Linked DNA regions of Schizosaccharomyces pombe. The protein of the gene in region 1 interacts with the protein of each later gene in a pairwise test. Each region holds a gene or a part of one and is shown on either strand. Other genes may lie near its edges. The genes, in order: cul3 and btb3.

Region 1 (3,929 bases):
GGCATGTGCTCAAACTTACGTTAAGTTTTTCAGAGTTGTGCTTTAAGGACCAGTAATAATCCATATTAAATGACACGAGCCGAAGCATGGTAATGTTAAAAAGAACATACCAGCGCTCAAGAATCCCAGTATATTGATCCTGTAAAAAGATTAACATCTGATGGCTAAAGATAGCGTACCAAAAACCCTAGGCCTGGATGAAGGCTAGAAAATTTGCAATAGGCAAAATATTCTTTAAAAAACACCACTGATATATCTAATGTCCATGTCAAGAGTGGATTAAAAATACTGTTCTTTAGAGACTTAGAAATGAGATAATTGATCAATGCAATTGTTAAAACATATATAACGCCAGTCCCGTAGACAAGTAATGCAAACAGCAGGGAGAAGCAAAGTCGATAGTTGTTTTTTATAGCGAGTTCATCATTAGTATTTTTTGTGAAGACAAGCTTAACGAGTCTCCAGAGAAAATTATAGACAATAATTACAAGTAGTAAGATTGGCATATTTTCACGAAACGCGGAATACTGAAAATCAGCGGAATCGACTTTTTGTCCAAACAACCACCCAGGCTTTAAATATTTTTCAATGTTTTTGTAATTGGGATGTTTTGCTGACGCCTAGTTAGTTGCTTACTTTATTTCAAATTGATAAATAGAAAAGGCTGATTAAAGCTTTTGACACTTACGAGAACTAACATAATGAATTTTAAAACAAGCAATTGTTAGAATCGATAGAATGACAGAAAAGTAAAAAATAAATTCTATGGAACCAAAAGCGCTCTTTTCCGGAACTGCGCTTCGAACGGTCAAACGTGAAGATGAAGATGGATGACTTGAACCAGAAGTCGAACTTAACCGTGAACTTTTAGAATTGGGTCTTTCAGTATCTTTGGTCGAAGTCTCAAGAACATCAAATCGAAATAAACGTAACATCCTAGAAGTCTCCTACCAACAGCAAAGAAGATGGTCGGTTCTCAAAATATCATAGAGTAAACAAACCTAGTGGTGTTCACTAGCAAAATGCAAGACACTGCGTAATTTACACTTTGTGTCAGCTTCATAGTCCGTAAATAATTTTAAGAGTAAGGTAGAGAGAGTATGATGAAATCAATTATATTTTTAAAAATAATAAATTCAGTTTGTATTGTTTATTGGAATGAATAAAATAGTCAGCACTATACAAAACGCGCTATTAAAATAGAAATATTAATTAAGCATCTTTAAAGACTAAATTTTGATTTTGGTAAATTAGCAACTTATATATTGAAAAATGTTTTACATTCGTTTGCAATAATTCTGTATAGCCCATTTAGATCTCTAAAATCGTTAATTTTTATAATTAATTAATTAATTTATTTTTTTTTGGATATGATTTGCTCAATGATTGCTAAATTATCACATCTAGTCTAAAAATTCAAAAGATAATTTCAAGTTAACAAGCTCATATAATAATTAAATGTTCTATTAGAACGTCGTATATATTGACCAAAGTATTACAAAAATAAATAAAAATAATATATACTATAGAAATTAAAATAAACAATGACTATATCTTGCAATTTATATGCTCCTAAACCCAATTTGATCGCTCTCCTAGTTCATTTGGAAGAATTGGAAGAAGATGATTTTGCTGGTCGAATTTTAAATTGAGGGGGCTTAAATTCTACAACATTGCCATTGATTACTTGACCATAGCCTTTTTTAAAAGTTTCCCCTTTCTTAGCTAAAATGTCTTCAATCGTCACCCGTTCTTCAGAGAATATTTTTAAATGATCAGCCATCAAGTGCCGATTTTTGCACTTAGGACATTGAACTAAAACGGTCCCATTATGGTAGGCCTGCTTGGAGAAATTGTGATTTGACCTAGTGTTACATCTTTCATTTGGTTAGTATCCTTCAATGAAATTATAAATACTTACACGGTACAAGTAAAAGAAACATTATAAGTCGGTTTAGGTTGTAATTGATCAGCATCTGATTTTACAGAGGGAACACCACTTGCAAGATCTTTAGCATCGCTTTGAGTGAAGCGTTTGCATTGCCAATTAGAAATGTTTCTCACATTCGGGGAACAGAAAAGTAAACTTGAAACCTTTACCTTGTTTGAAAAATTTTTTAACTGCAAATTTCGTAAACAGAATTTTTGAGTATACCGTGCAAAGCTCCACATTATGTTTGAAAAATTTTTGTGTTCGGAGAATGTTGTTCGTAGTTAGTACCTTCTACCACCTTTTGTACCATTACTTCCGTCTGTGCTGGCGTTTCTTTATGCAAACTCATATGCCCATATATTTAGCTTTTTTGTTGAAACTTAACTTTAAATTCCATTATTAATGCAGCGGTCAGCGAAGTTAAAAATTCGAGCGCCACGAAAAGTAAGTGTACCTGATGCATGCTGTCCTTATTATTTTCCTCACATACTGACATTTAGTTTTCTGCTAACCAAGTAGACTTTGCTACACATTGGGAAGTCTTGCAGCGAGCTATTGGGGATATATTTCAGAAAAGCACATCTCAATTATCGTTTGAAGAGTTGTATAGAAATGCATATATACTTGTTCTACATAAGTATGGAGAAAAGCTTTATAATCATGTACAGGATGTTATTAGATCGAGGCTTAAAGAAGAAACTGTTCCAGCTATTTACAAAAACTATGACGCTTCCTTATTAGGGAATGCTCTATTGGATATTAGAAAAAATGATTCCTATTCTACTTCATGGTCGAGATCATTGGAAGCGGCTCATAGATTTTTATCGTCTTTAGTTAATTCCTGGAAGGATCACATTGTTTCAATGCAAATGATATCTAGTGTATTAAAATATTTGGACAAGGTTTATTCAAAATCTGCAGACAAAGTTCCTGTTAATGAAAACGGAATATATATCTTTCGTGAAGTTGTTTTGTTAAATAGTTTTGAAATTGGAGAGAAATGTGTCGAAACTATTCTAATTCTGGTTTATCTTGAACGTAAAGGGAATACAATAAATCGACCCTTAATAAATGACTGCTTAGATATGCTAAACTCTTTGCCTTCAGAAAACAAAAAGGAAACTCTTTATGATGTTTTATTTGCTCCAAAGTTTTTATCTTACACAAGAAATTTCTATGAAATAGAATCATCAACAGTCATCGGCGTATTTGGAGTTGTGGAGTATCTGAAAAAAGCAGAGAAAAGATTTGAGGAAGAAAAGGAGAGGTCCAAGAATTACCTGTTCACAAAAATAGCTAGCCCCCTTCTATCCGTTGTTGAAGATGAGCTTTTGAGTAAACATTTGGACGATTTGCTTGAAAATCAATCAACTGGCTTTTTCTCGATGATCGACTCTTCAAACTTCGAGGGTCTTCAATTGGTTTACGAAAGCTTTTCTAGAGTGGAACTTGGCGTGAAGTCTTTAAAAAAATACTTGGCGAAATATGTAGCGCATCATGGAAAATTAATCAATGAAACTACTAGCCAAGCGCTTGAAGGAAAGATGGCTGTTGGTCGTCTATCATCTAATGCTACAATGGCAACATTATGGGTTCAAAAAGTTTTGGCCTTATGGGATAGACTAAATACAATTATAAGTACTACTATGGATGCTGATCGGTCTATCTTGAACTCTTTATCAGATGCTTTTGTTACGTTCGTAGACGGATATACCCGAGCCCCCGAGTACATTTCACTATTCATTGATGACAATCTGAAAAAAGATGCTAGAAAAGCAATAGAAGGCTCTATTGAAGCAACACTTCAAAATTCTGTTACGTTATTTCGGTTTATTTCAGAAAAAGATGTTTTTGAAAAATATTACAAAACACACCTTGCAAAAAGGTATGCTTTAATTGTTTTTACTGTCTTTAACACTTTTAGGTTGTTGAATAATCGATCAATATCTTCCGATGCAGAGCTCGGAATGATCAGTAGGCTGAAACAAGAAGCTGG
Region 2 (3,929 bases), 1.8 Mb from region 1:
TCTCAGTTCGAATACTTTCACGAGCGCATTCCAGTTGAATATCTCTAGTAACTTTAGCACAGATAGAAGCTAAACTCACGATGGGAAAAAGGGAATCTGCTTTTTTAGTGACAGTGACTTTCGCTTGAGGAAAATGAGCTTGTAATTTTTCCTGGTATGATATTGGAGGTCCTACTGTATCCACGTAAATCTCTGTAACATTTATTCCTGATTCATAAACTTTTTTTATTAAGTCAATTGTCGTATCATGTGCTTGAAGATTTAAATTATACTTGTTCCGGTACCTCAGCATTCCTGCAGCTAATTCTCTTGCGGAAATAGACATAGTAGACCATCCAACGTTTTTTCCTAGCTCGTTAGATTTGTTGCAAATTAATTTCAGAAGTTCCTCTCGCTTTAAGGAGGCCAAAGTTTTACTGTCAGCAAACCCATAGTTGGTCAAATCGAAATCGACTGGACAGTAAGCGACAGCATATACCATAGGTCCTAAGACAGGGCCTCTACCAGCTTCATCTACTCCTAATCGATATGGCTGACTCTTGGAAATATCATCAGTGACTGTTGAATGATAGTAATTCGATTTTGCGGGATTCGATTTATTAACTGAAGGTGGTAAAAAAGTTATTGAAGAATTTTGGTCTTCTTGTAGCTCATTTTCTGAAGAGTTATTGTCACTGACTAGTTCTTCTGGTTCCCATGCATCGTGATCATCTTTCATGTTGAGATTGCTGCTTTGTATCTTTTAAAGAATTATCAGAGTACTTCTAATATTTGGCTCAAAAACTGAATAAAAAAATAAATAAAGGGGTTGAAGGAATGCGCAAATAGGCCTAACACAGTTTTCTTTCGTTCGTGGTTTTAATTAGCGGTACTACGGTAAAACGATGTAAATAAAAAAAAAAGAAAAGCCAGACAAACAATTCATTACAGTTATAATGCTTTCTTTGATTGAGTAAAAATATTTTAATTGAGAAATGACTAAACTAAATGATTTACTTTTTAGACTTTCATTTTTTTAGAAAATTGTTCATTATCTTAAGCGAGTCATCTCCTAGCAATCGAAGCCTGCATACAAGATTTAACAAAAAAAAAGGAAATCATTAACATGGAACCTTGTAAAACGAATAACAACATCAAAGACCTTCTAAAATATCTTCTGGAGGGAAGTCTCCTACTTCAACTTCAGAAGATCGAAGAAAGGATCCATGTTTATTTTTCGCATTAAAGTATCTCTTTCCGCTGACTGTCCCATCATTTTTCCCAACTGGTTCATCAAATTCGACGCCAACCCACAGATTGTCATTATTAATTTCAGGCACTAGTCCAATATAGCGAATAGTTCCATATCTCTCTCCTGCTGCACAGCACCTAGAATTTAAATTTTTTTGTAAGTCGACTAATTCACGTTTTAAAGATTCTTGTCGAGAAGCTTTACTTGCTTCAAAGTCTGGATTGAATCGTCCAAGCTGATTTCTTTTTTTCCAGGCATAGACAGAATCTGTCCTGTTCTCATACTGTTCACGAGGCATTACATATTTATCAACCTGTGAAAGATCGTCAAAGTCTAGACGCAAATGAGGAGGGCGTGTATCCTCAACGACTATAGTCCCCAGAGGCTGAAGCTTGAATTCCCCTAGGTCTAAATTCTCTTCTTCGCTAGTGAAAACGTGTCCAGGGACTGTACTGGAAGCAGGTTCATACGTAAGTTTTTGGTATTGTTCTGGTGTCCCTACGATAGGAACTAATTTGGTCTTAAGCTGACTAACAGTCCATTGTGGGTTAATCCTTCGTTCAGCATTTGCAGAGGAAGATTTAATAAAGAGAGTTATCTCATTCATGTAGCAAATAATTTTAACTTAAGATATATGATTAATGAAAACGGAAAACACAAGAATATATAAAGTGGTGGAAGACGTAGTAGTTAAATGCTGACGCCGCCTTGGTCAGTCGTTCACAAATCACATCGAACTTGAACAATTACATAGAACCCTCGTTAACCAACTACATTTCGCATATGATCAATTAAATTTTAAGTCGATAATACTGTTGAACATAAGTGCAATCTTTGCTCAGTATAACCTTTTAATCGGTTGTTAATTGTTCTTCATTTATTAAAATGGCTTCTCAAGATCAAAATACAGGGACAACACATGTCGAATTGCAAGGTGGTGAAAATTCTAAAAAGCTTTTCTCCAAGTATGACCTTTGGTCAAAGGCAATGGATGAGAAGAAGCTGTCTTCCTCACTTTTCACAGTAAATGATACCCAAGAATTTCTTGAGCTTTGTGAAGCTTGTCGGCGTGGAGATTTGGAAGTTGTCAAGAGGTATGTGCAATTTAAAAATATTGAATCGATAAACAATTTTAACTGCAATTGCTAAATTCAAAATCCAGTTTGGTCGAAAACTATAACACACCTATTAATCAAGTAGACCAATTTGACTACTCGCCTTTAGTCCTTGCGAGTCTTTGCGGGCATGAACCAGGTATGCTATGAATGTTTTGCTCTCAATTATTATATTTTCTCACGCTTAAGTTGTAAAATTTCTTCTTGAAAATGGTGCTTTATGCGAACGAGATACTTTTCAAGGAGAAAGATGTTTGTATGGTGCCCTTAATGATAATATTCGCCGTATGCTTCTTTCTTATGATATTACTAAAGCCATTGATGAGTCCCAACCTTATGCTAGTCACATAACTTCCTTGTTGTCGAACTCGGCTTTACATTTTACTACTGACATAGTCTTTGCCGGTCAATATGGTAGGGTTTTTGCTCATAAATTCTATTTAGCTGCCAGAAGTTCATATTTTAAATCAAAATTTTCGAAATTGGGACCCAGTGAACATGAAATTGAAGTCAAACATTTTGCTAAAGAGTTTGAATCAATTTTGCGATATCTCTACTTAGACACAAATGCTGTTTTCACCAAACAGTATAACAATGCTCTTCTGAGTATTGGAAAAAAATTCCAGTTAAACGATTTTATCGCATTGTATGAAAAAGATCGCGAGCAGTTACACTCTAGAGATTGGAAGAAAATCCAGTTGGCAAAAACTCAAAATGATCTAGGAGAATTTTTGGATTATATAATCTCTAACTACAAAGTACCCATTGAATCTCTTAACCAACCTTCCGATCAGTATTCGTTTCACGATGCTTACTTGCAATCTTATACACACCGCTATCCCGTCCATCGTGCCATCATGTGCAGATGTGAATATTTTTTGGACATGTTAGCAGGACCATTTTTGGAAAGCAATCAAGAACTACCGGTTTTGTCTTTACCTTTTTCAAGTTCTGTTGTTGAAATTGTATTGAAGTTTTTATATACCGACAAAACTGATATAGCGCCGGAATTAGCTTTAGATGTAGTTTACGTTGCAGACATGTTGTCGTTAGATAAAGATAGAAGCTTGAAATCTTTAGCTTCTATAGTTATTACTAAACAAGAAGAGCCTATAGATAGTATTTACGATATTCTACGAACAGCTTGGGATACGTCTACGCCTCGCCTGGAGCAATACGCTTCCGAATATATGGCAAATCATTTGGAGCACTTGATTGACGATCCTGAATTCTGTGAATTAGTCAAAGAAAGTGCTGATCGAATTTTACAGAGACAAGAAACAGACACGATCGAACTCATTGATGATATTCGTTATTTCCTCTCAAAACGTTTTGGCATTTACCATGAGGATTTGTGCATTGATGGAGTTGTAGATACATTAACACCTTATGAAAGCGAATATAATCAAAAAATGGAGATGATTGACGATTTACTAGATAAACTGGAGCTACAAGCTTAATGGCAATGGTAGAAAAAATAATATTTCTTGAACACTTCAACTGTTTAAATTAATCATTATTAAAATTCAAATTCATAGAAAAGGCTTTATCTCAGTTTGCGCATTGCAAAATAAAGTAACGGG

The links.
Region 2: the proteins of cul3 (region 1) and btb3 interact in binary tests that used the Schizosaccharomyces pombe proteins (3 or more experiments, as listed by UniProt).

Annotation. Positions count from the first base shown.
Region 1 is NC_003424.3:487,022-490,950, reverse strand, and holds the start of cul3 (cullin 3), read left to right. Parts: upstream 1-2,236; 5' UTR 2,237-2,335; coding exon 2,336-2,377; intron 2,378-2,433; coding exon 2,434-3,818; intron 3,819-3,857; coding exon 3,858-3,929. Other genes in the region: gup1 (MBOAT family O-acyltransferase), read right to left, coding at 20-139, 180-613, 689-935; TIM23 translocase complex subunit Tim15, read right to left, coding at 1,601-1,877, 1,922-2,172. UniProt on the Schizosaccharomyces pombe protein: Probable core component of multiple cullin-RING-based BC3B (BTB-CUL3-BTB) E3 ubiquitin-protein ligase complexes which mediate the ubiquitination and subsequent proteasomal degradation of target proteins.
Region 2 is NC_003424.3:2,251,377-2,255,305, reverse strand, and holds btb3 (ubiquitin ligase Btb3), read left to right. Parts: upstream 1-1,953; 5' UTR 1,954-2,116; coding exon 2,117-2,325; intron 2,326-2,393; coding exon 2,394-2,485; intron 2,486-2,535; coding exon 2,536-3,806; 3' UTR 3,807-3,864; downstream 3,865-3,929. Other genes in the region: ribonuclease H2 complex subunit Rnh201, read right to left, coding at 1-718; alp11 (tubulin-specific chaperone cofactor B), read right to left, coding at 1,134-1,838. UniProt on the Schizosaccharomyces pombe protein: Probable substrate-specific adapter of an E3 ubiquitin-protein ligase complex which mediates the ubiquitination and subsequent proteasomal degradation of target proteins.